Elephas maximus indicus: one gene and its partner. The protein of the gene in region 2 purifies or fractionates together with the protein of the main gene of each other region. This does not show direct contact. Links are inferred from orthologs where the notes say so. Each region holds a gene or a part of one and is shown on either strand. Other genes may lie near its edges.

Region 1 (10,317 bases), on a different chromosome or scaffold from region 2:
ACCCCCATTCTCAGGCTAATGACAACTACTTCCAGATCGACCTGAGAAGTAGAAGTTGGGGGGAAAGCTGAGGCTCCAGGGAGCTGTAGTAAACTGGAGATTCCTCTCTCCCAACACACCCTCCTTTCTTTCTGTTTTGCTTTCTCCCTGACCTGCCAGCTGTGTCCCACTGCTCCCCAGCTGGGCCTTGGCGCCAGGGCTTTGGTGGGATAGCATGTCTAGGAGCCCCTGGCCCAGACATTCGGTCACCCTAGGGGAGGGAAGCTGTCTCCCTGACCATCAATTATGCAGGAGGTGGGGGAAGGGCAAGGATGTGACAGGAGGGGGTGGATATCTCCGTCAGTCATTCTGTCAACCATATTTACCAAGTACTTACTACGCAGACCTTTCCTCCAGATTGAGTGAGGGGACAGAGTGCCCCTGAGCCATCCCTCTTCTGGGGGAAGAGGCTCTTCGGGCACCCTGGGAGGCCTACTTCATTTTCCCCATGATCTAAATCAGCAGAGGGCATGAGATGGCCCAGGCCCATAAGCCCAATCTTTGATGCCGAACTCCTTTGACTCCAAATTTCAGCTACAACAAGATTGTTTTGCTGGTGGTTTCCAAAGTGCCCCATCAGAAGGCTGTAGGGGTGGAGTGGGGACAGGGAATCACCATTTATTCTTCCACCTAGGTTCTCCTGCCTGAGATGTTGGAAGCCTGAGGCAAGGGAACCCTCTGAATTCTCTATGGCTCCCTCCTACACTAAGAGCTGAATCTCAATGCCCAGTTGCTTGTCTGGCTGTCTTGGGGGCTCAGTTCAGAGGCCAGGCCATCTGTCTAAATCTTGGGCTCTTAGGGCTAAGCATTCTCTGCAGTCCTAGACCTCATTTTCCATTCAGGAAAAGTTTCCACTTCTCTCCTGAGTGGGTCAGGGAGGGGGGACTTCAAAGAAAAAGAGACTCAAACCTTTGGAATCCTAGTCCCCACCTCTGCAGGCTTTGAGACCCTGTGGAGGGTACAGGACTCTGACCCTTGATGGCCTGCCTCCTGTCCACTTGGCTTCAGCTTGGTTTTCGTTTTGCTTTTTTAAAGAGTCCATGGTGCTGGCCCCAGAGCTCTTCTCACATGGAACTACAGCTTCTCTCAGTGCCCTCACGAGGGGGAAATACCTTCCCCTGAGAGCCTGGGGAAACCTGGAGGTCACCCCCTAAATCCAGGTCTCCAGCCTCCTCCAGGCCAAGCCCTGAGACCCCTAGCAGCCACAACCTCTTCTTCCAGGAACACAGGCAGTGGAAGGACTTGAGGCAGGCAGGAGGGTAGTAGTATTTAGGAAACAGGAGCCAGCTTTGGAGTTGGAGATCAGGTCCTTTAGAACCCCAGCTTTGCTGCTGATTAGTTTAAGTACAATCACCTCTCTGAAACACCCAGCCCTACCTTATCAGGTGGTGCGAGTGAAGTAGGATGATGTAGGGAGTGCAGTGAGCATGCTGCCTGGCTCCTTGCTTTGTCTTCCTGGTTGGCTGGACACCAGGTCTTTCTTTGTGGATCCTGAAGAGTCCATCTCTTCTGCCTGACCAGATAAAGGGAGACTTGGTCTCCGACCTTCTAGTACCCCAGGACAAATCTCGACTCCAGGTTCCAGTGCAACCAGGTTACAATGGCAGTGGTGTACTAGAGCCCCCAGCAATAATTCCTTTCCCAGATCTTCAGTTCTTCCTCTGCAAATCCTGCCATTCCACTTGCTCTGCACAGAGGGGAAGGCCTGATCCTCTACGCTTCATCCTTGCCCCCTGGCCAATTCTCTTTGGAATCTGCTCTCTCTAGCAGCTACACCACTAAAACCCTCACCTTGATCATGTGGCACAAGATCACCCTCAGTCCCACCTACTAAGGTCTGAGAGGAAGAAGAAGACAAGAGCAAGGTATGATGGTCCAGGCCTTTCCTTCCTACTCAGGACGTCAGGTGGACTGGGACGAAGTTCAGCATATTTTAACAAGTGGTTCCTGAGCTGAACGTGCACATAAAAAGATCTGGATGGACAGCTACCAAAGTGTCACAGCTCTTAGGCAGGTGGCATTATGGGTGTTTTTATTTTCCTCTTTGGGCTTATTATATTTTTTAATATTTCAGTAATTTGTTTTAATTACTTTTAAAATAAATGTATCTTAAATTGAAAAAGAGACAATAAAAATTACAGAGTATTCATCCATTCCTGGCACTTAGCTGAGGACAACTGTGCTTTAGGGGGAGGGTGGCTGGCTGGTGTGGTGGAGAGAGACCAGGATTAGAATCAGAGAGGCTTAGGTTGAGGTCTTGTCCCTATTCCTTACCAGCAGGGTGACCTCAAGTACAAGTCATCTTAACTTCAGTTTCTTCATCTTTAAATGGGGACAATGGTATTTCTCTCACATAGTGGTAATGCAGGATGAGATGTGGTGGGCAAAAACACAGGCTCGGGGTCAGACAGACCTGAGTTTGAATCCTAGCTCTGGCCACATACTAACTTTTTGACCCTGAACAAATTAGTTTTTTGATGATAACACTACCTAACTCTTAGGCTTGTTATAAGCATTACTGAGATAATCCAAATAAAGTTCTTGGCCCAGTACCTGGCATGTAGGAAGCTCCCCATAAACATTAGCTGTGTGGAAAGTGTCTAACACATAGTATTAGATTCTTTAAAAATATGAGTTCTCTTACTTTCTTAAAGCAAGAGGCAGTAGGTAGGGTACAGTTGAAAAGGGAGGCAGAGAAGCAAGGTGAAAAAAGGAGAGCAAAAAGAAGAAACCAAAAGGCAAGGGCTATTTATCCTGCATTATCCTTATCCTTCTCTGGAATAGTGTTGTTGCTGTCTCCTTCCCCCTGTCCCCAGTACACACATGACCCTAAGTTCTCCTGGGAGCAAATGAACTAGACCAGTCTCTGGAGTCAACCAACCCCTCATGAAGCCCTTATGTCCCCTGCTGGTATCATCTTAACACTGTCCTCTTTTTTCCTCAGCAGGGACTCCTGAAGGGGTTGATTCCCTGATCCTTTCTTTCCCCCCAGGTCCTGGCAGCAGAGAGACGTAGGACTGCCCAGGATGAGCCACTAGGAGAGTCCAGGGCTGTGGGTACTAGAGCTTAGGGTCTTCTTGGCAAAGGCAGGTTTTACCAAAGTATCACCATGGAGGGAAAGACAAGGAATAGCAATTGTTTTTTAGAGGGGTTCTGCCATTCTTAGCCATAAGGAGGCCTAGGAAATCCTGAGCCACTTCCTTAACTTGAACTCCCTGCCTCCTCTGCCCATAACTGGGTTTAATTAGGAGATGAGTATTTAGTTGTGTTTTTATGTATGCTGGGAGTTGGGGTATCAAACTGTTGGTCTTCTCTGCATGATCACCTCAGACTCCAATGTGAGTGAGTGGATCAATGCCAGGCTTGAGAGGGCAGATAGTTTTTTTTCACCCTTAAATGTGGGATAGGAGGGAGCAGGGCCCTAAAACCCAGAGAAACTAAAGAAGGCACTTCCTGAATCCCTTCTGCTTGCCCAGCTTGGCATGACTCTCTAGCTGAAAATCATGCCCCCAAAGCATTGGAGTTCATCCTAAGAGGTGGACAGGAAATGCTGTTTAGAGGGAGTTATTGACTGTGGCTGGAGAGGACCATGGCAGGGATGAAGAGACCTCATGTGCACACCCTCCTGGTTGAAGTCCACTCACCTATTCTCTCAAGAGGTAGAAGAGCTAAAAGGTGGGACCTCCCCCCAATTCTAAGGGACACCATTTCCTCCCTCTGTCTATAGAGGCACTGACCCCTTGTTTTCTCTCCCCTCAGCTAAGGCCATGGATATCAGGAGTCTCAACTCTGTGGAAAGATTCTTGCTTATTTTTAAGCCAAGGAGTTTGAGGAGTATGTGGAGGCAAAGAGAAGTGGTTCTTGAAGGGCCTGAGCTGGGGGAATGGGTTAGGGGAGCCAGAGAAGATGGAAGAAGGAGGAGGGAGAGAGCCATATATAGATGGGGGAGGGGAGGATGCAACAGCTGGATGAAGAAGGTGAATGCTACAGCTGGAGGGGATTGGGGGCATCACAGCTGGAAGGGGAGGGAGACCAACGCCTGGGCATCCAGGAACAGGTGCACTCTGACTACAGTCTTAAGGTCTAGCCTGCTCTCTGTGTGTGTGTATGTGTGTGTGTGTGTGTGTGTGTGTGTGGTGGGGGGGGGGTGGGTACAGCAGGCCTTGCCCTTCCTTTCCTTTTCTGGAGGGAGCCAAAACTCTCCCTCCTCTCTCCCCCTTCTTGAAGATGAGTAGGAGGAGAGGAGGATGTTCTCTTGCCCTCTGTCCTTTCTTTAATTCTGCCCCCCAGTCACCCCACCCCCTCCTCCCCCTGCAATACCGTCATTTCCAGCTCGGGAAGCCCTTCGTCTCCAGGCTGGGCCGCGGCGTCCCACCGTTCGTTTCGCCTCCTTCCCATCCCCACAGGCATCGGGTCCAGGTTCCCGGTCCCCCCATCCCCACAGCCTCAGCATCCCCGCGCCACCCCCTCCCCCACGCCACATCTGCATCCCGATCCTCCCTTCGCACCCGGATCCCAGGACCCGGGCCCGTTCCAGCCCTCCACCCCCCGCAACTCGCCCAGGCTCTCACCTCGGGGGCTCGGCGGCCGCAGCACAAAAGGCGGCGCTGCTGCAGCTCCGCTCCGGATGCTGCTCCCGCCTCCTCCTCCTTCTCCTCCTCCTTTCTCCTCCCCCCGCCCCCCCCCCCCGCTGCCCTCGACCGGACCCGGGTCGCTGTCACAGACGAGGCTCGTGCGGTGTCCGGATGCACGGGTATCAGCCCCAGATTTATGCCCCCACCCCCCCGACCCCTAGCCCCGTCCCCTGTCGGCTCGAACTCTCGCTCTTTTCAGGGCCCCCGCCCCTGGCCCCCCGGGACGGACACGCCCTGAGCTGGGGATGCTGCGCTGGAGCCGTCGGCCTCTTAAAGGAGCCCGCTGCTGCCATCCGGCGCTTTCCAGGCTTGTCCCTGGCCCGTCTGCACCCTGCGCCTCCCTGCTGGTGGTATCCTGTAGCCGTCCTACCCTGGGTTTTATGCTGATTCCACAGGAATCCCCATGACCCGTTTTATAAACTCTCTCCTTTACCCTTATGGGACCCCCAGCGCTTTGGCATTGCTCCCCTGTCATACCCATCTTGCCAGCTCTCCTCCCCAGAATTGTCATCACTCTAGTTCCACCAAACGCTGTACGCCTCAGCTCTAGGCTCCCTCCCTCCCTCTCCACGATCATTCCAAGATTGCTCTGAACCTCCAACCTTGCTCAGGCTTCCCTGACACCTTCTTAGGACACTCATTAGAGTCAGACACTTTTCGTGATTTCTGTCTCCAAGGTCACAAGATTTCCCCTATCTCTCTCAGCCAAGTGGTTACAAGACTTTGGAGAGTGACGGATGGAGCTCTGAGACCCCAAAATAGGGGTTCTGTTCTGCACTCAGATTAGTCCGTTAGTTTTAAGAAGTCAGAATCCTCTCTTGATTTGCTTTTACCTGAGAAACCCAAGACCCACGACAGACAGCGGGGCCCAATTGCCTGAGTCCTTCTCATCCTGCCTCATCCGATAGCCTGATTCTCAGGCCCCTGAGGGGATTTCCTGGCCGGTTAAAGAGAGACTAGGGCCGCTCTAAAAAGGCTTTGAAAGGGAGGTGAAGGGTAACCTTTGAGAAAAGAAGGTTCTACGAGACGGAGGCCTGAGAACCAGGGGCTTAGGCCAAGGGGTGAGGGTCAACGCTCAGAGAGGAACTTAGGTATACATTTGTCCCAGCGCCTTGGGGGACAGAGCACAGCCCCCTCCCGCGTCCAGGTTAAGGCCCACCTCCTTCCCAGAAAGCGCTCCTCGACGCCGGGCCAATCACAGTCTTTTCTCAAGGAAAAGGCGGGGCCAAAGGGGGCCGACTCTTCCCTTGTTCCCACCCCTCTAGGCAAAACAACCAATCTCAACTTGTCTAGAGGAGGAAACGCAATCGGGAATAACCAATCACGCCGCGAAGCTTCTCGATCGCATTAGACCCTGCCCCTCCAGCTGCGACAAAAATGGCGCGCAAGCTCCTGGGTTCTGTAGTTCTCTCGGAATTCAAAAAGCCCCATTTTAGAGTTAGCCCTTACCGCCCCGCCCCCAGCGGCTTCCATTCCGCTAGTGCGCATGTCCACAGCTTCACAGTACAGGGAACGGAGGAACGGAAGGAAGGAGGCGGGACGATTAAAAAAAAAAAGCCTAAGCTTGGGAAGCGACAGAGAAGGGGTCTGCTCCTCCCAGAAGGCGGTGCTGCTTGCCAGGGCGAACCACGCGGAGGGTTGTGGGGAGGATAGCTACCCTCCTGATGGAGACACATGAAGTAGGGTGGGCGGGGGACTCCATATCCCAGCATGCCCCGCGCCGGGCCCTACCGGCCGCGACTCCGGGCTTGGCCCCGGCCCTAGCTCGTCGGCGGAGTATTGGGGCGCGTGGAGGCTGTAGTCACGGTGGCGCCCGCGGGGACGGAGGAGGGAATGAGTGAAGAGGAGCAGGGCTCCGGCATTATCACGGGCTGCGTGCTGCCCAGGTGAGCCACCTCGTAAAGAGCCCTGCAGGGCGAAAATCGTGGTGCGGCGCGGAGGCGGTAGCCGCGCGGCCCCAGCATGCACCTGGCCTGAGGGTTGTTCCCGGCAAGCACTGGGGTAGTGGGCAGTGATTCCCAGCATGCACCGAGCAGTGGCCACTGCCTCCAGCCCTAAATAGTTTGGAGTTGTCCCGGTTCCCAGACTGCCCTGGGGCACTGGGGTTTATGCCATCGAATTTTAGTGCATTTGGTGGGTACTGGGTCCCTAGCCTGCACTGTGACAGGGGACATGCACTTCCAACCTACGCTGGGGTACAGGATACCTTCACTGAGATAGGAACTGTGCATTCCTCTCCTGCCCTGGGGCAATGGATCCTGCTTTCCCAGCCTGCACCTCTACTCCACATTGAACCCAGCCAATGGCTGCTGTATTGCCAGGGTCCCCTGGACTCTCTGCGTTCCCATAATGTGCCTGGGTCTGGTATGGCAGTGCTTGGTGAGATGGGTGTAGGGGAGGTGTGATGTCGGTCTGTGCCCCTGCCCCCCAGTATAGAGCAAATGCTGGCCGCCAACCCGGGCAAGACCCCGATCAGCCTTCTGCAGGAGTATGGGACCAGAATAGGGAAGACGCCCGTGTACGACCTCCTCAAAGCCGAGGGCCAAGCCCACCAGCCTAATTTCACCTTCCGGGTCACCGTTGGCAACACCAGCTGCACTGGTGAGGAAGGATTGGGCAGCTTGGCTGGGGTGTGCTAAGCTTGTCACAGGGCGCCATGGCTTTGCTGTTTGAAGTTTATTCACAGTCCTCCACGGCTAGTGAGGGAAGGAGAAATTGCAGGGGAGAAACCACTGACTGGACTGGGAGAGCAGGGTGGTGGGGACGGGGGATAGGACTTGGGAGAGTTAGAGAGCAGGACTGCCACAGCAATCTGGCAGATCCTCGTCATCCCTGAGGAAAAAGTAGGAGGTAAACATAAATCTGAGTAAGGATTTGGAGGGGGGCTGTTAAGAGTCCTTCCTTCCAGCAGTTAGTGTAACACTTCCAGTCTTGGGCAGGGGGAGGTTAGTCAGAGGGGGCTAGCTGACTCCCTGTGGCTGTATGAAGAGAGGCTATGGGGTGCTGTCCTTCCAGTGACCTCTTCTGCCCTTCCAGTGACCTCTAGTATTGTCCGATCCCCTCTCTCAGGTCAGGGCCCCAGCAAGAAGGCAGCCAAGCACAAAGCAGCCGAGGTGGCCCTCAAGCACCTCAAAGGGGGGAGCATGCTGGAGCCGGCCCTGGAGGACAGCAGGTGAGGGAGAAACAGCCAAGGCATCCTAGAGGCTCTGCCAGCAACCAGGGCAGGCCCCTGGCCCACTCCCTCTGCCCAGTAGACCACCCTGCCCTGGCCTCTTCCTGAGTTTCCTCTGGACCTGAGCATGGTGCTTCCAGAGTTTCTGCTGCAGCGAAGGATTCTGGGGGGAGTAGCCAGCCCCATCCAGAGGTTGTGGCTATGGTTTGGGACCTGGATTAGGGAGGGAGAGGGGTGGAGCCTAAGCCTGAAGGGAGTTGCTCCCAACATGCTTTCTCTTTCTAGCAAGATGTCTTTCCATCTTCCACATTTAGGCTGGAGTTTGTTGCTTCCAGCATCCTTGAGTAGGAAGAGACCCTTCTCCCCCTTTTCGCAGTCTTTTTGATTTAGTCTTTGACAGCAGACGATCTCAGAAGGAAGAGTTGTTGGTTGAGCTTCCCTGAGTCTTTGGCTCAAGTGGGAAAGGGTTCTCTTAGGGGATGGGCATGTCAGGAAGACCTGGATCCCCCACTCTCCGTTCCCTTTACACATGTGTGTGAATCAAATGCTCCCTTCCCCTCGGGAAGTCCTTTCTCTCCCCTAGACTCTTCACTGCCTGAGGACGTCCCGGTTTTTACTGCTGCAGCGGCTGCTACTCCTGTTCTTTCTGCTGTCCCAACCAGGTATCTTTTGTCCCCTGACTGCTTGAGGTGGGAGAGGAGGGGGTCCTGGTTCCTGACCCCCAGCCCTTGGACCTAGGCTGGTCAGGGCATGAGGAAATCTAAGAGTAAACAGAGGGTGGACTAATTGGGGACCAGAGCTTGAAGAATTTGCACCAGCTGGTAAGCTGTTGGGGCAGGAAGTAATTTATGATTTTTAAATAGTCATAAGGGTGATGTTGGACCATGTTTTAAGGGTCTTGCAAGACCCATTTTCTTCTGGGTTGGCCACGTGATAGTTCTATGTCTGAGTCTCATTAGGTTCTTCCTGGGACTGGGTATACACAGTCCTTCTACTATCTTGGTGAGATGATGCCTAAACGTACAGAATGGAAATGGGGTTAGGACACATAGGAGGCCTCACATGGGTGGGAGGGGGAAGTGGACCAGAGCAGGAGGGAGGAATGCTAGACATTTGGCGAGACAGTTGCCTGCCTAGTGGGAAATAGGGAGATGTAGTAAAGCCAAGGCAATAGTTAGGACTTGGGCTTATGGGTAGCCAAGAAGGAGCCATCTCCCTCAGCTTTGGCCCTGGGCCCTTTTTCCTTCAGGAGCCCCTCCATGGAGGTACAGCCCCCTGTCTCCCCTCAGCAGTCTGAGTGCAACCCCGTTGGTGCTCTGCAGGTGTGCCCCATCCTCATTTCCTGTGCATGCTTGTCTTCCCTTGAACCAGGGCTGTGAGGGAAGCTTATGTAATTGTGCGGGGACAGGGGGGTTGCCCTGTACTGGAGGCTTTTTCCACCCCCCTTATCCCTCCTCCCTGGTGGCGTAGTGGTTAAGTGCTACGGTTGCTAACCAAAGGGTTGGCAGTTCGAATCCGCCAGGTGCTCCTTGGAAACTCTATGGGGCAGTTCTGCTCTGTCCTATAGGGTCGCTATGAGTTGGAATCGACTGGACGGCACTGGGTTGGGTTTGGTTTGGTTTATCCCTCCTCTCTTACTCAGCCTTGTGCATCGCTGGTTTTCCACCCTTTCCAAGGAGCTGGTGGTGCAGAAAGGCTGGCGGTTGCCTGAGTACACAGTGACCCAGGAGTCCGGGCCAGCCCACCGCAAAGAGTTTACCATGACCTGCCGAGTGGAACGTTTCATTGAGATTGGTAACTGGGCGGAAGGGGGTTCTTGAGCTACTGTCCCCACCACTCCATCCCCGGCCACAGGGCAGCTCCTGGCCTCACTGCAGAGCCCCAGCTCACCTTGCTTCTCAGTCCTAGGCTCAGCTCCTTCCTCCTAGTTTCTTCTTGCAGCCTATCCTTCCCCTTCGTTTCTAGTTGACCAGATTGTCAGGTGCATGAGCAGGTCCTCAGTGCCCCTTTCCAATTGACATCCTTGTGAGGGGACCCTCCAAGTGTGTCCCGGGTGGAAAGTACTGGACCTACTGGGAATAATAATCCGGCACCCTCTTCCCACATACAGGCAGTGGCACTTCCAAAAAGCTGGCAAAGCGTAACGCAGCGGCCAAAATGCTGCTCCGAGTGCATACAGTGCCCCTGGATGCCCGGGATGGGAATGAAGCAGAGCCTGATGATGATCACTTCTCCATTGTGAGTGGCTTGTGTGGGCCAGGTGCCGTGGGCCTTCGTTCATGCCAGGGCCGGGTACCGGAGACTTGGGTCTGTAACTCAGGAGTGAGCCTCTCCAGCCCAAGGCCTGCTCCTGCCTCATTTCCTACCAGATCCAGAGTTTGAGGAGCTCTTAGTCTCCACTTGTCAGCCCCTCTGAGTGGTGTGGGGGAGCTAACCCAGGGATCTGTGAGCTTCTGCTGCTGGGATGAGGAA
Region 2 (9,659 bases):
GAAAGAATACAGAGTCACTGTACCAAAAAAAAATTGGTCAGTGTTCAAACCATTTCAGGAGGCAGCATATGATCAAGAATCGGCAGTACTGAAGGAAGAGAAATCCAAGCTGCACTGAAGACATTCGCGAAAAACAAGGCTTAAGGAGTTAATGGACTATCAATTGAGATGTTTCAACACACAGATGCAGCATTGGAAGCACTCACTCATCTATGCCAAGAAATCTGGAAGACGGCCACCTGGCCAACTGAATAGAAGAAATCCATATCTGTGCCCATTCCAAAGAAAGGGGATCCAACAAAATGCAGAAACTATCGAACAATATCGTTAATGTCACATGCAAGTAAAATTCATAAAATACATCCATAATCCTGAGATCTCTTTTTTATAATATCATCATCTGATTAAGAGATCAGGATCTTTCTCTGCTAGTAAGAATAAATTAGGAGAATTCCCGTTTCCCCTGTGCTCTAGAACAGTTCATATAACATGAAACAGAATTATCTCTTTTGGGAAAGATTGGAAGCATTAAACTGAACCTTCTGGGCTAGATGTTCTTTGGTCACCCTTGATCACGTTCTCAGTGTCCTTCTTAGTTATTGCTCAGATCTTGCTTTTAAGTCCTTGTTTTGCATTTTTGATGAAAACACACATACACACGTAATTAAATTTTTTTTTTACTCAAAGTTTCAGATTCATTAGCCTATGGGTATATAAACAATTTCCTTATATTTGTTAAAATCTCTGTGGTGAGTTTTAAAATTTGGGACTAATGGATATGTTCACTATTTTGGTTGTGATGATTTCACAGATTTATATACACATCAGAACTTAACAAGTTATACATTTTATATATGTATATTTTATTATATGTCAATTATACCTCAATTTATAAAAAGCTTACCAATTTTATAAATCTTTTCAAAGTAACAGTTAATACTTATTAACTCCATTTTTGATGATTTCTGATTTTTAAAACTATTTCCTGAAATATTTAAGAAATACATGTTTATTGTAGATAAAGGCATGCTGCATGCAAGAGCTGTTGATTCATTTCCTGATAGTAGGGTATACAATTTGTCTTAAATCTATTAATTATACTACATTGCTTTCATTGTTCCTAGATTGATTTTTTAAAATAATTTTTATTATGCTTTAAGTGAAAGTTTACAAATCAAGTCAGTCTCTCACACAAAAACTTATATACACCTTGCTACACACTCCCAATTACTCTCCCCCTAATGATACAGTCCGCTCCCTCCCTCCACTCTCTCTTTTTGTGTCCATTTTGCCAGCTTCTAACCCCCTCCACCTCTCATCTCCCCTCCAGGCAGGAAATACCAACATTGTCTCAAGTGTCCATCTGATCCAAGAAGCTCACTCCTCACCAGCATCCCTCTCCAACACATTGTCCAGTCCAATCCATGTCTGAAGAGTTGGCTTCAGGAATGGTTCCTGTCCTGGGCCAACAGAAGGTCTGGGGGCCATGACCACCGGGGTCCTTCTAGTCTCAGTCAGGCCGTTAAGTCTGGTCTTTTTATGAGAATTTGGGGTCGGCATCCCACTGCTCCCCTGCTCTCTCAGGGGTTGTCTGTTGTGTTCCCTGTCAGGGCAGTCGTTGGTTGTACCCGGGCACCATCTAGTTCTTCTGGTCTCAGGATGATGTAGTCTCTGGTTCATGTGGCCCTTTTTGTCTCTTGGGCTTGTAATTACCTTGTGAGCTTGGTGTTCTTCATTCTCCTTTGATCCAGGTGGGTTGAGACTCATCGATGCATCTTAGATGGCCGCTTGTTAGAGTTTAAGACCCCAGACACCACTCTTCAAAGTGGGATGCAGAATGCTTTCTTAATAGATTATATTGTGCCAATTGACTTAGATGACCCCTGAAACCATGGTCCCCAAACCCCTGCCCCTGCTACGCTGGCCTTTGAAGCACTCAGTTTATTCAGGAAACTTCTTTGCTTTTGGTTTAGTCCCGTTGTACTGACCTCACCTGTATTGTGTGTTGTCTTTCCCTTCACCTGAAGTAGTTCTTATCTACATTCTAATTAGTGACTTAGATTGATTTTTTAAATATTAAAATGAAAATATAGATGGAGATGCAAATTTTTTTCAAGGTGTTCTTGTAGTTTTGGGACCAGGAAACTTTGGGTGTGAAGAATATGTATAGGTGGAAAAACCTGGGTACTGGCCCACAGAACAGAGGACCTTCAGTGTGAGTTAGCTAAGGACTAAGATGCAAGGATTGAACTAGAAACAGAGAGAAGCTGTTAGATTTCTGGGAAGGTACATCAAGAATTACTGAAAGAAGTTTTTTTTTTCTTCTTTTTAAAGAAAAAGGTTTTATTTGGCATATATTCAAAGAGGCAAAAGTAGGAAGTAGACAAGAATGCTGCTAGAGCCATGTCTGCCTGAGTCCAAGGAAATACTACAGAACAGACAAAAGTGGAAAAACGGACAAGCATGTTGCTAGAGCCATGTCTGCCTGAGTCCAAGGAATATGACAGAATGGACAAGAGTGGGAAAACAGACAAGCATGCTGCCACAGTGCTAGAAGAAAGTTGTCAGCATAAAAAGCAAAATGCTATCTGGATTTCCCTTATACTCTACTGCTTTGTCAAGCCAAGAGTGAAATCCTTGATGATGGAGACACCCTGCAGAAGGACCCTGAGAGTCCAGAGTCAGGATTGACTCCACTAGCCACTTTGAAAATGAATCAGAATAGTGGCCAGTGCCTTTCCACAAAGTTAAGTGTGAGCCTGGGCATTCAGAACAGGGGATTCAAACTCTTATGGAAAAGCTGAGCTCCCAGCTCAGTTACACCAAGGCAAGGACCCTGCTATTTCTGAGGGTTTTTTTTATGCCATCTGTTTGATTCAGGTCAAGCCAAATTTACTTCTCACTCTAGACACAGCTTTTCCCAGGCACCAAAGGGGGACAGAGATGCATTTGATATGGTCTCTGTCCTTAAGGAGCTTAGAATATAGTGTGAAAAGCAGACAGCGATTATGATAGCAGCTAACACTTTTCTTGCATTCTTCTAGGCATTGTTCTCAGGTCTTTACCGGCTAATTTAATTTTCACAACAGCCTAGTGAGGTAGGTATTGTGCTTACTTCTAATTTACAAAGGTAGAAATTGAGACACAGAAAAGTAATTTGCTCACTGTTACACAGCAGGTAAATGGTAGTACCAGGATTGACACCAAGAAAGTATGACTCTAGAATCTTTGTTCTTAACTACTACTTTATGCTGTTGAGCAGTGGTTTCTCAAAGTGTGGTTCCCAGGCCATCAGCATAAGCCTTATCTGGAAACTTGCCAGAAACGCACATTTTTGGGCCCTACCCCAGACCTGCTGAATCGGAAACTCTTTACCCCAGACCTGCTGAATCGGAAACTCTGGAGGCAGGGCTCAGCAATCAGTGCTTTAACAAGTCCTCCAGGTGATTCTGATACCAGCTGTTTGAGAAGACTTGAAGAAGAATTAACACATCTGAATTGTGGTGTTGGTGAAGAATATTGGGTATACCGTGGACTGCCAAAACAATGAACAGATCTGTCTTGAAAGAAGTACAACCAGAATGCTCCTTAGAAGCAAGGATGGCAAGACTGCATCTTACATACTTCGGACATGTTGTCAGGAGGGATGAGTCCCTGGAGAAGGACATCATGCTTGGTAGAGTACAGGATCAGCGGAAAAGAGGAAGACCCTCAACAAGATGGATTGACACAAGCTACAACAATGGGCTTGAGCATAACGATTGTGAGCATGGCACAGGACTGGGCAGTGTTTCATTCTGTGGTACATAGGGCCACTATGAGTCGGAACCAACTTGATGGCACCTAACAACAACAACGCTGGAGAGAAGGAAGACATGCTATGGTGTCAGAAATTAAGCTCCGCATGAGTAGGAACTGCATATAGTCCATCTCAAGTTCCTTGCCCTTTGCTCAGCATCAATAGGCATCAAAAATTACATATATGGATGAATATATGCAAAAGTGATGTTTGAGCTGGGTCTTTCATCATTTATCACTGATGGAAGGAAGGCCTGTGTCAAGAAACTGACTAGCAAGGATGTAGTCGTTCTGGCAAAATAGGATAAGGGTCTGCACCAGCACAGGGACCATTAGAATGGCAAGGGAATCATGAAAGAGCAATTCAGGAGGTAAACATATCAGGAATTGGTGAACAGCTGAACGGGTACAAGAAGCAAGGGAAAGAGAGGAATTGCCATTTCTATGAAGGTGTCATTCACTGAGACAGGAAACAGGACAAGCACGTTTGTGGGGGAAAGAGTTTGTTTTGGCAAATGTTTATGTATATATATTTACTACAATAAAGCAAAAAAAAAAATTTTTTTTTGTTCAGTTTTGGACTCCTTAAATACGAAGTGCTGATAGGCTATCCAGGTGGAGCTGTCCAGCAAACGCTTGGGAATATGAGACTTGGCTGGAGATAGAGATTTGAAAGGATAGTGGATGAGACCTTCAAGGGGAAAGTGGAGAGTGGAATGAGAAGAGAACGGGGTTGGGAACCAGGTGTACACTATTATTTAATAGAGCAAAAGCAAGAGAGGGCCCTCAAAGGAGACTGAAAAGGAATTGGACAAAATGGAGACCTCAGAAAATACAGAAGCCAAGTAGAAGATTCAAAAAAGGAGAGGCACGGATGATGTCAGATAAATAAGAACTGAAAATTATCAACTGGATTTCGGCACAAAAAGTCATTTAAGTGAGGTGATGAGGGTGAAAGCAGATTGGCGGAGTTACGGCGTGAGCTGTAAATGAGAAAGTGGAGGCAGGTCCTTCCCGAGTACCGCAGATAGAGCTCTGTCGCTGCACTTGAGTTGAGACTGTACATCTTTCAGGGTAGGCAGGCTCTGTTTCGTATCTCTGGTCTCAGCGCCCAGTACACGTCCTGGAAGACAGGGTGGCGTCAGTGAGTTCATCGACTGGGGACGGAGAAAGACTTTGCGGAGGCAGTCGCTTTGCAGCCGAGGCTTGAAGGATGAGGGTGATTGGGAGGAGAGGTGGGAGGCAGGGCTCCTGGGTGATGGGGCGCTCGAGTGTGTAGGGGGGGGTCTGGGTATGAGGTGGGGTCCCTGTAATATGCGCGTGGTCCTGTGTGAAGGAGGGTCTGTGTGTAAGTTTGGAGGGGATTATTTTGGAAAAAGATACAGGGCCGGAGGCTGTTGCGGGGGTGGGCCTCCCAGCCTCACTAACGCCGCTGCGCGGTTTCGCGGCGCCTCTACGGGAGCCCTCCCGCTGGGCTGCATGGCGACGGGTGACCACCAGGGGCCGCTGCCTCCGGTCCCCGGTGCCCCCGCCCCTCTCCATTGGCCTTTGTTGCCGTCGGAGCGCCCCGCTTGACTCGTTCCCGTCCGCCCCCTGGGCCTGGCGGCCGCGCCTGCGCACTAGCAACTGGCCGGGCGCTCGAAGGGGGAGCTGCTGCAGGCTCCGCGGCCGCGGCGGCAACGGAGGCTGCGGGGGCGGCGGTGCGAGCGGCCGGGCTTCGGGGGGGGAGCCGAGCCCGGCCCGGGAGCCCAAGCAGCTAAAGTGCGGGGTACCTAGGCCCCTCACGCTGGACTCCAAAGTCTCCAGGCCGCCTGACCTCCGCACGGGTATATGGGATGGAAGCGGGACCCTCGGGAGCAGGTAAGGGCCCCGGGGAAGGGGGGTGCTGTGCGTGCTCCAAGGACCAGAGAGCTCCCGCGTGAGGAGCGGGATTTCCGAGTGAGGGAAGGGCTCCTGAGTGAGGAGAGGGGCTCTCTTGGGATGGGGGCCCAGTTTGAAGGGGGCTGTGTGCAGTTCCGGGAGAGAAGACCTTGTGAAGGGAGCCCTGAGATGGGGGCCATTTGTAGAAGGAGGCTGTATGCAGTCCTGGGGGTGGGAAGTAATCTTGGAGAAGGCCCTGGTAGCACGCAAAGACTCGCGTATATCCGAGGAGGCCTAGGGAGAGGCCCGGCAGGTGGCAGGGGGCGGGCTCCAGGTGTCCCGGAGAGGAGGGGGCGACACAGATGGGCCCGGAGCAGCCGCATGCCGGGGGCGGGGGCTCAGCCTGGCTGGGCTGGGTTAGTGTCTCGGGGAGAAGGCGCCAGAGCTGGGCTGGAATCCCAGCCGCGGGATTCCCCCCAGTGAGTCTGGGGAGCCGGAGCAGAGGCGCCGGAGCATGCGCGGAGGTGGCAGCTGGAAGGGGCTGCCCAGTGTGGTGGGGGCGTGGCTGCCTGAGATCGTTCCCCCACCCCTTAGTCCCGGTTTGGCCTGGAAGAAGGAGCGAGCTGATGGGGTGGATTCTCTAACGTTATGCTGGGAGGGCCAAGTGGAAATGGTCCCTTCCCCCATCTTGGGGTCTCTTACACTTGGCCCTGAAGCCCCTCAGTCACAGTTTCCCAATTAAGGTTAAGAGAAACTGCCAAAGTGCTCCTCTTTGCCAGTAGAGTAAGGAAAGACTGAGACTAAAGCAGTGTTTTGGGGGGTGAAGGTGGGTCCTCCCTGAAGATAGGCCTTAGAAAAGGTGTTCGTTACTGAGGGACCAAGGCCAGGACCAAGTCTACCTGGAAGGGATTTTCTGCCTTCTTTGCAAGTTTCTGGGCCAATACTGAATAGAGATTGAAGCTTTTAATCCAAGGATGAGGACCTTTCTATTGAAATGTGTATTAAGGTGACAGCCTGATCTTTTCCTATACCTCAATATTTTCACGGTTCCTATACTTCACTGGTTATCTGTAGTCTTTCTTTCCTTTTCCCTCTCTCAACCCCCCAGAAACTGTCAGAGCCATGTCATTAGACTCTAGGTTGCTCAGCTAGGTCGGGAGGGACTAGGGTGGGAGATTTTAGCTTGCACCTTGGTGTACTGAGTTCCCGCTGATAGCCTTAACTTCTCCTTTTTTACATGCAAGCAGGAGAAAAGGAACTAAGAACAGAGGAGAAATGGAGGCAGGCCTCCCCAAGAAGACTAGGGCCCGCAGGATGATCTGTGGGGTATTGGGATGTCTTGTGTCCTAGGTCTCTTTCTTACCCTGTGATGGGAGAAAGAACATTCTGGATCCTGGAATTCTTTAGGTGACCTCTTATCACCTCCTTCCATTTGGTCTAGGAATGGAAATAGGATTTACTTCTCTGGTGGAAAGATCTTTGTCTTTTAGATCAAACCTTCTACCTTCAAGGAAATACCTCCTACGAACTCACTCAAATTATCCATTCAGTGATCTATAAATATTTAGTGACTACTCTTCTCCCGAAAAGAGAAACAACCTTACAGAGACTCTGTGGGCCCTAAGGTATGGGAATAGAGTTCAGGAAGCAACTGACTTCAGTGGTCACTACTTTCTCCCTCCCTTAGGTGCCTGTCATCATCTCAGGAGCTCTCTTGGTTTTCTAGGCTGGAGCCTGTTTGCAACAGCCTGTGGACTAGAGAAGTGCGGTGGGTCACAGAGATCCAGATGAATTTCTGAGGGCTTGCACCAATACCAACACCAGACTGCTGATGATTTTATCCTGATGAATTTATAATGGGCTCTGGAGTGATGGAAAAAGTTGACCTTTTTGTTTGTTACAAAAAATAAGGTTCTAGGGAAGGGACAAAGCCTGGTGTCTGCGGTAGCCTTAGGAAGAGCCTAGTGGGACAGGCTTCGCTTCATTAAAGGGTGTAATTGAAATTAGTTCTGGAAACTTCAGGTGGAGGAACCCCATAACTGCCTCCTTCCCAGGCTCAGACTATTAGGAGTTAGGGTGATGGCTTGAGATAGCCCGAGGACACACACAAACTGAGGCATTGTTGCAGGCCTCACTGGGCTTATGCCCAAGTATGCCAACTCTGGTCAGGTGCAGAGGCAGTGTCTGATTTATCTGTGGAACCAGCAACTGCCTAGCATAGGCCATGACACAGAGTATATTCACACTTGAACTGAATCATGTTCAAGTGTGAATATATATATGGTCAAGCGCATAATTGAATATTTGATAACCAGTGTATACTCATGTGCGGACAGATTCTTTTTGGAGAGGTTGGCCTGTTAGCCTTTGCTTATCTACCAGCTAACCCAGCCTTGGATTTGTGTTTTTTAAATAGATAGTCTGGCTCCCTGAGAGATATGTAGGCCTCTGAACTGCTGGGAAGGAATCCCTGGGCCAGGGCTTTCAGCTCTGTTACTTTTCCCTCTCTAGGCCAGTTGGGGATGGGGGAGGGGGAGTGTCCTTTTCAGGGCCCCTCCTTCCTTCCTTCTGTCTGCAGGGAAGGGCCCGCCCCTTTCCCCCAAGGCCCAAGCTTTGTCCTTCTGCTGGGGCCCTCATCTGCATCACAAAGTGGCCGTCTGTCCCTGTCTGGGTCTGAAGGGAAGTGTCTCCCTTTCTCAGACTTAAAGCTGGGGGTGGGGTGGGATGGGGGGCTTTGTACAGCTGGGAGGCGTGTAGGGGGATGGGATGAGAGAGATTACCACCTCTTCCTGCCTTCCCAAGTTCCAGGATGAAGGAGGATGGGGGCTCTCCTGTTTTCCCAAAGCATTCTTGGAGTAGAGTGTGCTCCAAGACTAAGTCTGGCGTGTACTAGTTCAATTTTGGGGGAAGGGAAGGCTTTGAGGCTAGAGTATCTGTCCCATCCCCCATCATTTCCACCCAGCCCCCAGCTCTAGGAGATGTATTTCTCCCAAGGCCCCAAACATTTATCCAGTTTGGGACGCTGAAGGAGGTAAATGGAATCTAAGAATTCAGAGGAGGGTCTCTCTTACTGGCCACATGCACAAGGGTGATATATGTTTGTCCTGTGCAGGATTTGTAATTGTTTCTGGTCAGTTGCAGGTGTTCAAGTGTTTTGTGTGCTATGTGTGGTTGTGGTGTGTCTATGGATATGTTCATTCATTTAATGTCAGTATATTGAACAGCTGTGTGCCAGGCACTGGGGAGTCAACAGGGACCAAGGCAGGTACAGTCCCCAGTCCCTGCCTTTGAAGAAAGTGCAGTCTAAGGCAGTGAGGGGCATATGTATAAAGGTAAGCTGCCTAGGTCTGTGTGTATGTGTTTGGATGTATGTGATAGAAGCGTGTCTATGTGTGTCTGTCTGACTGTGGGCTTGTGTTCAGTTTCTGTCCAGCTCTTTTGGGGTTAGGTGGCCAGATACTAGTAGTTAGGCTTTCACTTCCCCATGTAGCTGAGTTCTGAGGGCCTTGTCCGCCCTGGCTGGGCCTCCATTTCCCTGTCTGCCCAGTGGGGCTGGGCTTGACAGGTAAAGGAGACTTGAGCAGCTCAGCTCTGGGAAGTGTACCCCTCCCCTGAATGGATCTGACCTCTTCCTGACCCTCCAGCTGAGGATATGCCCCATCCCCCCCAGCCTGGCTGTGAAAGCAGAGCTCTGATGATGGGAGGCTCTGGGCTGGTTTATTCCTTTCCCTCCCACCTGGGCTGGTCCTCTACTGTGCGGGACAATTAAGCTGAGGACAAAGGCTCCTCTCAGACCGTGTTCCTTCTTTCTCCCTTTCCCCTCAAGCTGGAAAAATAAGACTGGAGGTAGCAACCAGACTGGTGACAAGAGAGGAGAAAGGAGCGGGAGCTGGCTCCGCCCTAGCCCCCTCCCAAGGGCCCCCTCTGTCTTGAAATTGATCCCTTCTGCTACTGTCTGGGCCCTCTGTGTAGAAGGAACTGTGGGACGTGAAGGGGTCAGC

Evidence for each region. The genes of interacting proteins can lie anywhere in the genome.
Region 1: the proteins of protein argonaute-1 (region 2) and TARBP2 purify together in Homo sapiens (co-immunoprecipitation; 4 studies listed by BioGRID and IntAct, with this or other methods). This does not show direct contact. The link is inferred for Elephas maximus indicus from reciprocal best matches to the Homo sapiens genes AGO1 and TARBP2.

Annotation. Positions count from the first base shown.
Region 1 is NC_064822.1:108,992,045-109,002,361, forward strand, and holds the start of TARBP2 (RISC-loading complex subunit TARBP2), read left to right. Parts: upstream 1-6,279; 5' UTR 6,280-6,506; coding exon 6,507-6,559; intron 6,560-6,581; exon of another isoform or gene 6,582-6,806; intron 6,807-7,104; coding exon 7,105-7,274; intron 7,275-7,742; coding exon 7,743-7,845; intron 7,846-8,411; coding exon 8,412-8,507; intron 8,508-9,094; coding exon 9,095-9,167; intron 9,168-9,521; coding exon 9,522-9,639; intron 9,640-9,955; coding exon 9,956-10,083; intron 10,084-10,317. UniProt on the Homo sapiens protein: Required for formation of the RNA induced silencing complex (RISC). Component of the RISC loading complex (RLC), also known as the micro-RNA (miRNA) loading complex (miRLC), which is composed of DICER1, AGO2 and TARBP2.
Region 2 is NC_064821.1:77,238,761-77,248,419, forward strand, and holds the start of protein argonaute-1, read left to right. Parts: upstream 1-5,414; 5' UTR 5,415-5,633; coding exon 5,634-5,658; intron 5,659-9,659.